Linked DNA regions of Drosophila melanogaster. The protein of the gene in region 2 purifies or fractionates together with the protein of the main gene of each other region. This does not show direct contact. Each region holds a gene or a part of one and is shown on either strand. Other genes may lie near its edges.

Evidence for each region.
Region 1: the proteins of Caf1-180 (region 2) and Caf1-105 purify together in Drosophila melanogaster (affinity purification with western blotting; 3 studies listed by BioGRID, with this or other methods). This does not show direct contact.

What each region holds. Positions count from the first base shown.
Region 1 is NT_033778.4:10,465,484-10,470,434, forward strand, and holds Caf1-105 (chromatin assembly factor 1, p105 subunit), read right to left. Parts: upstream 3,058-4,951; 5' UTR 2,963-3,057; coding exon 2,373-2,962; intron 2,314-2,372; coding exon 660-2,313; 3' UTR 518-659; downstream 1-517. Other genes in the region: CG11777 (uncharacterized protein), read left to right, coding at 3,151-3,153, 3,218-3,454, 3,718-3,963; whd (withered), read right to left, coding at 4,280-4,402, 4,463-4,822, 4,885-4,951.
Region 2 is NC_004354.4:8,601,632-8,608,017, forward strand, and holds Caf1-180 (chromatin assembly factor 1, p180 subunit), read right to left. Parts: upstream 4,674-6,386; 5' UTR 4,558-4,673; coding exon 2,319-4,557; intron 2,256-2,318; coding exon 2,086-2,255; intron 2,024-2,085; coding exon 881-2,023; 3' UTR 506-880; downstream 1-505.

The sequences.
Region 1 (4,951 bases), on a different chromosome or scaffold from region 2:
ACTGGGTCCGAAAATACATCACTGGCGACGGCAGTCCACGTAGTGACGAAGCGCGCTAGGACAGATTGCATGGCACGACTTTCAAACAATTTTAAGAATCAGGAGGAAAAGTGGTGAAAAAGTAAAGGGGAAAATTAAAAAATTTGGTGCCACTTATTAGTCACGGAAAAGTAAAAAATCTGTTTTCGTCGCAATTTTGCTTGAAAATATTTAGCTGTCTGGTAATAAATGTCTTTTCACAAAGTCCTTCCAAAAAATACGTCCCCGTGCAAATTCATGGAAACTTAACTTGGGACCAGGTAGAACAACCCTCTTGAAGCATTTTTAATTTGAGGATTTCGTGGTACAGTTGACCAGTACAGTCACATAACTTATCAGATGACTTTTGTCACAGGTAGAAGAATCGTGTATGTTGATATAGGAACTACTGAAACTGTACAAACTGCAAATTACTACTGCATTTTGACTGCAATTTTCGTTTTAAAGATCCCGAAGCCAAAGCAATACAATTACCTCTAAACCTTGTGTTGCGTTTTATTGTGGAATATATTAGGAAGAATTTTGGCTATTTTTTACAATTTTGTATGGGGTATCCCCAAAGATCCCAAAAATCTTAATCTTATGAACATAAATCTGTTAAGTCTAATCTATTGCATTGTCTACTCTAAAAGTTTCTTTTTTGATTTGGGCGTGGATATGGTTCGCAAGGACACGCGACGTGGCGTCTTGTTATTCGGCGTGGATGGCCCCGATTCAGTCGGATTTTTTGGCGTTTCCTCTTGCGTATCCTCGTAGACCAGACGAATGTCCTCAGTTCGCTCGCAGGTGGCCTCGCTGGCCTCTATTACCGCTGGTTTCGTTTCGGTCTTTACAGTCTCCGGCAAGGGTTTTCGAGAATCCTTCTTTGTCGCTGGCAGGGGTGTGATGCTCTCGTCGAGGGGCCAGGCATCCATGGCCTCCTCCATTGGGACCACAGGCGAGTTCACCGGCATTTCGATGAGTACGCGTGGAGTTCTCCTCACTGCAATGGGAGTAGCTTGCTTGGCGGGTTGGCTTTTCGGCGTTAGATTAAATTGGCTGGAGCTGCCAGGAGTTCGTGGCTGGCGACGCACTTGAATTGGTGTTGCGGGTCGGGACTTCTTCTCAGGCGATTCGAACTTATCATCAGAACTGATGATCTCCTTCTCGAACACCGGAATCACTGCAAGTGCCGGCTGTGATGTCTCTGCTGGAGGCACTGCCTCTGTGCTCACCTTGCGCTTGACAGGTGATGCCACTGTTTTCTGCACTTGAGTCGTTTTTGTGTGAGTAACTTCCATTTCGTCTTTGGGCTTGCTCGATTCGCTATTCCCCTTATCCTCGGGCTTACGCGGAGCTCTGCGTATAGCAATCGGCATGGGTGCAGTCGAATTTTTACGGGGCGAACGCCTGATGGCGATGGGAGTGGGTTTCTCCTCTTCGCTAGCTTTTGTTTTGGGACTGTTCGTTTTATTCGAACTGACACTGTGCGTTGATGAATCGTTTTCAGCATCCAACTCGGGTTCCCCTACCTCTGTGATACCTGCTTCGGACGCCCTTCTAATTGTATTTGGTTTCGATTTTTCCTGCAGTGGTTTCCGTGGTTCATCCAACGATACCTTGCGCAGCTTTTGCCTCTTCTTTTTCAACACCGTTGCATTCTCTGAAGATTTTAGAACAACGCTCAGCACTGTTTCCATATCTTCATAGCAGTCGCCCAGCTCGGTTGGCTCGAAGGTAATCAGTGAGCAGTAGCCATCGGTGCTGGACACGATCAGGACGGTGCCGTCGCTCGACCAGGCCAAATCCGTAAGCCTGCTATAGTGAATGTTGGACACAATGGCAAACGGCACCGGCTGCTGGGTGTCGTAGAAAAACACAGCGTTCTTTGTGGCCACAGCATAGATCATGCGGTACGGCAGCGAAATAATCGGAGGATTCTTCTCCGCATTGTACGGTCGCAGACGGTACAGTACCGGAGAGCAGCGAACAGCCACCGCATATTCCTTGGGAAAGGGCAGCACAAAGGCGGGTTTGGACAAATCATGGCGACTAAACCCATAGCTGGTGTTTATGGGTTTCACAACACCATCGTAGTCGGTAATTCCTGACGGCGTTAACAGCAGCTTACCATCGGGTGTGAAGCATAAGCGGCGAAAGAAGGTCTGCAAGGTTCCATCTTGGTACAATCGCATGCTCTTGCCGTGCATCTCGTGGTCCTCTTTTACTGGGAGTACACATTTGCTGACTCGGTGCAGAACTCGCTTGGTATTGGCATCAAATATCCGCATTTGTCTAAAAGAAATTTAACTCCATTCGATTAAAGTTCGAACATTTTGGACTGTACTGCTTACCTATCGGTGCTCATGGTGGCGATGTATTGATTGCAGGGATCCCATGCCACGCCCTGTACATAGCCCTTGTGGTCATCTAGAATAGCCAGTGATTTGCCACTGTGCACATCCCAGAGCATCGCTGTGTTATCCACGGATCCGCTGACCAGAAACTGTGAGTTCGGCGCCCAGCTGAGATCGTAGATATCCTCGCGATGGCCGCGCAGTACCTTGAGAGTCAACCAGACCTCCTTGTCCTGTTCACTGCAGCCATCGGCGTCCACAATGTTGACAACTTCGTGGTCGGCCTTCTGTTTCCATATAAAGACAACACTCTCGTCATCGCCGGATGCCAGCAGTTCTCCGTTCGGTGACCAGCGGACAGCGTTGACGGCACGCTGATGCCGGGACAGGTCGGCGGCCAGCTCCACATCCACGCCCTCGGCGTCATCACTTCGGTTAACATACCAAATGAGGACATGGGCATCCGAACCACCAGAGGCTAGGCGGCATATCGTCGGAGAACGCAGCCCCAGGCCATTTTGCTGTATATCCACACTCAGGACAGGATCGCGGTTGTGCCACGAAATCTCGGGTATCTTGCACTTCATCCTGTTTACTTAATGTGCCGCTGTTGATTAGTTGAAGTGCGAAGAGAAAAATCACTTTATGCGGCAGAATTCGCGCCTAAAAGTGTGACCTTCGGTCACGGGAATACCAAATAGTGCTGTTTTCGATTTCTGTTATCGTTAATGGACCGATTGCATATCGAAACGAGGGCTGCACAATCACTTTTAAAATGGTAAACAAAAGTTGGAATATCTGATTTCTTACAGTTTTAACCGATTTTGTTGTGTTGTTTGCAGTCTGTAACGCTGCACACCGACGTGGGTGACCTCAAAATAGAGCTCTTCTGCGATGCCTGCCCCAAGGCCTGCGAAAATTTCCTCGCCCTGTGTGCGAGCGACTATTACAGCGGCTGCGTCTTCATCCGAAACATCAAGGGATTTATTGTCCAAACTGGAGATCCTACGAACACCGGAAAGAATGGACAGTCCATTTGGGGCCAGAAGTTCGACGACGAATTCAAGGAGACCATTAAGGTGAGCCGGCTACCTAGGTTTTACCAGAAAAACCCTCATTCAGTTGCGCCATGACAGCTGGCTTTAATACCCAGCATTCCGGCTTTAAAGGGTATATTGTATCTAATCTTAGAATGTAACCAGCACATGAATCTCAAAATGTATGTTGACATCCATATCATTTTACATTTTAATATGTCATGTGGTTGGGTTCGTTTTTCAGTCTAAAAGATTCCCAAGATACAAGAAGAAATCCTTTAATTCTTGACCACTTAATTCTTCAGCACACTGATCGAGGAATGGTTTCCATGGCCAACAACGGACCGAACGCCAATGCCAGCCAGTTCTTCATTACCTATGCCGCCCAGCCAAATCTTGACTTGAAGTACACGCTCTTTGGCCGTGTGATCGATGGATTCGATGCCCTGGATGAACTGGAGAAACTGCCCGTCAATCCCAAGAACTATCGTCCCCATGTGGACAAGAAGATCAATGGAGTAACTATACATGCCAATCCTTTGGCGACGTGATAGAGATAGAGACAAAGGCCAATCGTACGCTTAAAATGAAATATATTTATAGCACTTAAGGTTACGCGATTTCTTCGATTACAGACTAATTGATTGAGAAACATCAAATATTGTGCAAAAGTATCTAAAGACTAAATCTTAAAACCAGCCAAGTCACAATTGTTTATAAAAAATTGCATTGTTTATGTATAACTCTCACGACGACTTTTGCACTTCATTTCGAACTAGACGGATGTATCAGATGTGTTTAAAACGACCAACTAGGGGGGTAAAAACAAATGCTAACAAGAATCTCGACTACATGGACTAAACGGGATTATGTGGATTTGCCGTTTGTGAGTGATTTGGCGGGCTTCGGATGGTCCTTCATGTGCTGCTCGAACATGCTGCGAATGTCTGACAGAGCCTGCGATATGTTCTGAGCGAAGCGGTGCACATCCTGTAAAGAAAACAATTCGATTAGCTGTGCTCCATGCCATGAATCAGGGCTCCTCATTACCGTTTGCTGGCACGTAGTCTTCGCTGAGATATGGAAGAATATCAGGTTCTCTCCGGCAATAATGTACGACACACCGTAACCATCATCGGCCACGGGCCCAAAGCCGCCTCCAGCGCTGATGCAGTTCGGATGCTTCTTCAGGTCCATCTTGGGCGTCTGGCCGTGCGGAGTCTGACTAGTAGAGAGGCGCCAGGGTTCGCTGAGCACCTCGTTGAGGAAGGGTGAATCCACCTCCAGGTACTTGGAGACCACATACAGGCAGAACAGATGCCTGTCGATGCCACGACCGCACATGGCATCCTGGTAGCCCAACTGGTGACGATCGCAGGCAGCCTGCATCATCTTCACACGCTCATCGTTCTGTACAGCATGGATATATGGATTAGCCTTTGATCTAATTACATAAAATTGTAAAATCTTACGGTTGTATTTGGGTTCTGCATGGCCTTGACCCAGGCGGATGACTCAATGGTGCACGGACGCACTGTC
Region 2 (6,386 bases):
CGGTTATTTCAAAAATAATCGCCTGTGTAAACGCACTTTTTTTTTAACTTGAGATTTCCTCACAATGCTCGGCTCTTTTAGTTAGCATAGCAAACTTTTGGGAACGTGGGAAGGAGGATAAACGGGGGGCGGCGGTTAACTAATATCGACGGCAGATAACAATTAAACAACGATTACAATAGCAATAATTAATGGATAATCGGATAATCGTATTTAAATGTAGATGGGACTCTAACTCTTGCAGATCTAATGGTACGACACACGTTCACGTCCACGTTTTTAAAGACAACACATCCCCAAACACACACTTCTAATTTTTTTTGTCGGGAATCTTAACTAAATGTATATTAAATAATTCATTTAATTGAAACGTAAATCGTAACAAAAATGGCAAAAAGAATAAACAAACAAGTTTTAAAAATAACTTCAAGCGCTGTTTCCACTGATTTCCACCAAGAAACCCCCAATAATTTGGGACTGAAATGAAAAATGTAGCTATAGATTTATGTATTGTGTCTATATATTTCCAATGCGAACCCAAAATCGCCATCAAATGAAAGATCATCATCAGGTAGGTAGTGTATTATTGCATATATACTATATATGTTTAGTTGGCTCAATGAAAATTGCAATCCTGCGAGCTTCTGTTGCTCAACTTCTTAAAAACTTTGCGATCGAGTGGGTGGGATGCTGGTTGGGGCAGGGGTGACCCTGGTGGGGATGGGTTGGCTGAGAAGGACATACAAGTCGAACGTACATCGGAACATTTAAAATTAAATCAACTTACGAGTGAAACTAGCGACAAAAAAAATGTGTATTCTTAAAATACTCGCTTAGCAGGAAGCGGAAGATCCTTAGGGGATCTAGCTTAATCCTAGTCTTAATCCGAGAGCATCACCACATCATCGAAGACAATGGGCGGTGGCTTCTCCTGCATCTTCTCCTTGGGTTTGCTGGCATCGCTCTGGCGTTGCAGAAACTGGCTAATCAGCTTGTTCTTGGTGGCCGAGGGAATCGGCTGATCCCTGGGCACGGACATGATCAGGGTGGCCCGCTTCTTGACGCCCTGACCCGCCTGCGTCTGTCCACTGATGGGCGTTGTGGGTGCCGAGTTTGTGGTCTGGTTGGAAGCGGGCGAGGCGGCTGGTACCGCATCCGCTGGTGGACTTTGCTCTTGCTGCGCTGCATCTGGTCCGTCGCTAACCTTGGGCGTCAACGTGTAGTTCCATTGATTCTGCAACTGGAGATCCGGCAGCTGGAACTTTTCCAGCATATCGCTGGCGACCACCCAGCAGAGGCGCTTCTTCGGTTTCCTGCCCTTTTTGGCGCTGTTGGCACTGGCGGCAGCGGCTTCGGGTGTGCTCAGCTCCACGGTCTTCCAGCTGGCAAGCTCGTCGAATTTCTCGCGCAGCACAGCCTTTGAGGGCAGCGTTGTTTGATTGGCCTCGGCGGTCGCTTGGGTTTTCAGGTACTCTAAATATTCGTTGATCAGGAACGTCTTCGAGTTCCGATTGCCGTGGGTAAGGCGCACCAGCTGCTGCATGAGACGATCGTCCAGCTGCAGCGGCACCGGCTGCTCTGGCGTCTGATCCTGACGCTCCGGTTCTGGCGGAGGCTCTAGGCTGAGTGGCTCCACCTGCCAACAGGCGTACATGTCGATGGTGTGGGCAAAGATAGCTGGGAATAGCTCGGACTTGTTGCCGTTCTCGTCCAGCCAAACGGGACCCAACAGGCGCGCCTTGATCTTTTTCGTCTGCTTCTTCATTTCCTGAGCGAACTCCTGCTGCAGCACCTGGAGTTTGGCCTTCTGCGCCTCCCGCGTGTGGCCGTCTTCCATTCCGTCGCCGTCGTTTTGCAGTTCCTCGTCGCTGAGATGTCCGTGCGGCACGTACCACTCGTTGTACTCCTCTTCCGATTCCTCCTCGGACTCCTTCTCTTTCTCGTCCTCGCTAGCGCTCAACGATTCCCCCGGCTCCTCCTCCTCCCACTCGCAATCGGAGTCCACTTCGTAGTCGAAGAGCACCTGCGTTATATGATTATTGATATTTGTGTTATGATATTTAAGCCAGAAGAAGTGATCCATACCTTATCCTGTGCCAGCGGGCGTCGGGCGGAGATGCTGCTGCTCTTTTTACGCCAGGTGCCGTAGTACGGTGGCCTCCGGTTGTCGGCGAAATGCAGATACTTGGCCTTCATTCGGGTCAGCTGCTTGGGCTGCTCCACCTCGATGGGCAGACCCGCCGGTGAAAGGTAATCTGTAGATGCAGATGATTGGTGAAGAACAAATGCTTCTTTAATATCTTGCAGCCATATCCTACCTATCACTTGAACATCGTCATCATCCTCCTCGTCCTTGGTGCGTCTTTGGAGCTTCACATCGCGCTGCATCTTGAGCGGCTTGCGCCGTCCGCTGCTCAACTCACTAAGATAGAGATTAGCCCGATTCGGCGGCTTTCGTCTGACGATGTCCTGCTCCTCCTCTTCCTCCTCGTCGTCAGCTTCCTCGTCCCGGTGTCGAAAAAGTCCATCTAGCTGGGAGCGCTGCTCCTGGCCGAGCGAGTTGCGCACGATCGGTGCTAGCAGCATGTCGTCCTTGATCTGAAATGGTCGAAAGGCCAGCGTTTGGCTGCTGGCCTTGGAGCTGTCGCAGCTGCTTTGCTCGTGCTCCAGGTAGGATGTGTTGTTGGATCCGCTGCCGCACTTGGGCTGCTTGGGCACGAAGAACTTGGAGAAGGACTCGGCGGCGCGCTTCTTCTTTTGCTCGGCCTCCTCACGCTCCTGCTCCTTCTTGCGACGCTCCTCGTCCTTTTTGCGTTGCACCTCCTCCTTGGCCTCGTTGCGCTTGCGCTTCTCCTCGTTCTTGGAGTCCACCTCCGCCTGTCGCTTGCGCTCCTTCTCCTCCTTTTCCATCTTCCTCTGCTGCTCCTTCTGATCCCTCTCCAGCTTCCGCTGCTGTTCCTTTTCGTCGCGCTCCTGTTTCTTTTGCTGCTCGCGGTGCTCCTTATCCTGTTGCTTGAGGCGACGCTCCTCCGCCAGCTTTTGTTCCTTCTCCTCGCGAGCCTTTTTCCTTTGCTCCATGAGTCGTTGCTGTTTGGGCGTAAGACCCTTCGGGGCGCCGGTTACTTCCGGCAGACTCTTCCTGTTCAGGCGAGTCTCCTTTTGGGCGGAGGGTCTGTCGGTGGCCGCGGTGTCCGTATCCGCATCCATCTCGTGCTCGCTGCTGGAACTGTTGGCCTCGCTGGTCGAGAGGATCATCGAGATTTCTGCTGCTTCCGGAGATTCGTTGTCCGACTTAACTTGAGTAGATGCCTCGTCTTTCTTGGAATCCTTTTTGGCCGTCACCGATTTGTGTGAGTTCGATGCATCTTCTGGTTCAGAAGTCTTTTTCTTGACTCCAATTTGTTGTTCTTTTTGATTATTTGCAGGTGAGTCTGCTTTCTCTTTCTTTGACTTTGTTGTGCTGTCTTCCTTCTCTTCTTTCTTACTCTTTTCAGCTGGTTTTGCTCCCTCCTTCTTGCCTTTTCCTCCGGTTTTGCTTGTTTCCTTCTTAGGGACTTCTTTTGGTTTGGAATCCTCTGCAATCAGTGGATCTTTCTTGTTGTCTTTAGCTGTGGTCTTGACCTCCGGTTTATCCTTCTTATTAGTTTCCATTTTCTTTCCCATAAAGAGATCTATTGTGGCCTGATCGTTCTTTTTATTTTGTTCTGCGGTCTTTGGCTCTTCCTTCTTCGACTCCTTGACCGCCTTCATGGACTCCTCCTGCTTCTTTGAGTCCTTTCCATTCTTCTGCATGACCTCCTCCGTGTGCTTGCCGCTTGTAGAGCTGTTTTCTGGGGATTTCTCACGCGGCGTTTGTACTTTTTGCCTCTTCTGGGGGTTCAGTTCTTCGGCGATAATCTCTATGTCATCGCTGGACTCGCTGTCCCCCTTGGCAACATCCGCGGTCGAAGTCTCCAGCGGTTCCTCAGATTTCTTCAGGGATTTTCTGCGCTTTGATCGTTTGTTGACCAATGGCAGCTTGATTTGTATGGGTGCCGGCGAGCCTTTCTTGCCCTCCGACTTCTTGGGCTTCAACTTGACCTCCTTGGAGGACTTGGCCTCTACCAACTGATCCTGGTCCTCTATCTCCTTGTCGGCCTCGTCCTCATCCAGTTCTATGACATCTTCCACTACCGAATCCGTGGTCTTGACCTTTTTAGTGGCTATGGAACTGGCCAGATCCAGATTCTCCTTGCTGGTCGAACGTCGCAGTTGCCCCGTAGAGCAGCCAGTGCCCTCCGATGGCGACTCATCGTCGTACGAAAGTTTTCGCTTGCGCGGAGCGGGATCGTCCTCATCCAGGATTACAGTGACGGGGCCAGAGCCGATAGTGGCGGGGGACGATGAGGAGGAGGAGGATGTGGGCACCGCCCCACCGCCTGGCGTTAATAACTTAAAGGGCAAACGCGTCTGCACGAACTTCTTGCCACCGCTGGCCGTCTTTTCCGCTGATTTGGCCGGCACAGCCGCATCTTTTTTCCTGCCGCTGAGCGGCGTCTTAACAACGCCAGCGTGCATTCTGCTGTACTCTCTGTCTGCCTGTTTCCTGTTTCCTGCGGCTCCTGTTTTCCCCCAGCAAATCTTCACTTGTTATTCGCTTAATAAAAAAGGCGGTGAAAACACACTAGCGATGGCAGTTGCGGTTGCGCTTTGCCGCCAATAGATCCGATCGCGCGCTCGATAGATCGATATAATGTGCATCAGTGTTGGCAAGCGATCGAGTGGTGGAAAACTATGATAAGAGTGATCCTGCATACGGCTAAAGTCTCCATAATCAAAGGATTAGTGGTAGTAGATTATTCCCGTGGATAATTTTACCCACTAATCCTTTGATTGTTTCAGTGGAGACTTTAGTCTTGGTAGAAGTCTTTAATATGGCAAAGTGAAGAGTCAAACTATGGCAAATTGGAGAATTAAACTATGGCAAATTGGAGAATTAAACTGTGATCGGAGGAGGTGGGGAACTTAGATAAGAAAGAGGAATATCCTTGTGTCCTTTTTATTGGCTTAGCTTAATTGTGGAGACTTTAAAACATAAATAGCGAAGTGGAGAAACTTAAAAATGTCTTTGTAAGATTTGTAAGATTTATTTCTTTTAATAGTTTATATTGTTTACAAGAATATCAAATTAGAGTCAATGCCGTTTTCTTAATGTTTTGTTATTAATTTCTTTTCCAGAACAGTGAGCAATAAAATTGAAATAGACATTGAAAACTACTCATGCAAGCGAAAGTACACAATGCTAATTGTTGTGCACCCTGGGCGAGCTTTTTGTGAATAATTAAATACAATTAAATACTGTCGTCTTCCCAAGTTTATTCCATTTCTGCAAGCTATCAGGTTGATTGGGTACGTAGTTATTGTTACCTTTTGATGCAGCTAACAAATATCGCCCCACTGTCGATAATTGTTTACTTAGTTTAATGTGGCATTTTTGCTAATCCCGGATAAGTGGAAAAATGCTTGCGGCCACAGTCATAGCCACTGTTGACCCCTTTCCACCTGGCGACCTGGTTGACATGGTGACCCAAACCGAGGGAGAATGAGAGATCCTGCCTCCGGCTGCAGCCTGCGTCGCAGCGGCCTGGAATACATTTCATTTAATTACAATTTGTTTCAATAGGCCAACACGTACACACAGCTCAAAGGGGGGGGGGGGGGGGAGAGAGGAGGAGGAGGTGATGGATTTGGGGGCGCCAACTACTCTGTGATTATACATACATATATACTGTGTGCATGCGCATAATTCTGATTGCAATTGCACTTCGATGCATTGGATTTATTATCCCATGAAGTACTCCTAGCTTGTAAACTCAAAAGAAAAGTAATGATTTGATTAATCTGGTGTGAGATAATAATCAGATAGAATTGATACATATTTAAGTGATTTGTGGGTACTAACTATTAGTATTATTTTTTTTTTAAACAAAACACTTGCAACGGCCCTAAAGTGCAAATCTTGATGACTAATACTGACATGTGCAATCCAATTCACATGAGATACAAATTGCGGTCGCCGCTTGTGGCTTCTTTGGAAAAATTAAATATATATGTATGTACATATATACAACAAAATCAGAGGGGTGGGGGAGGGTTCAGATGTAGTGGGTTGGACATGTGGCATATTATACGCATTGGCCGGGATTTGCCATCGCCACATATCGACTCCTTTAATAATGATAATAATAATAATGCCGCATCGATTCCGCTGGGACTTTTGGCCCACGACCGATGGCCCCGGAAGAGACGGGGCGTAAAATGGGAATTCGGTCATGCGTGTGAACGGGTGCGGTATACCGAGTACCCAGTACCCGGTACCCGGTAACCAGTATCCTGTAGCGTCCTTG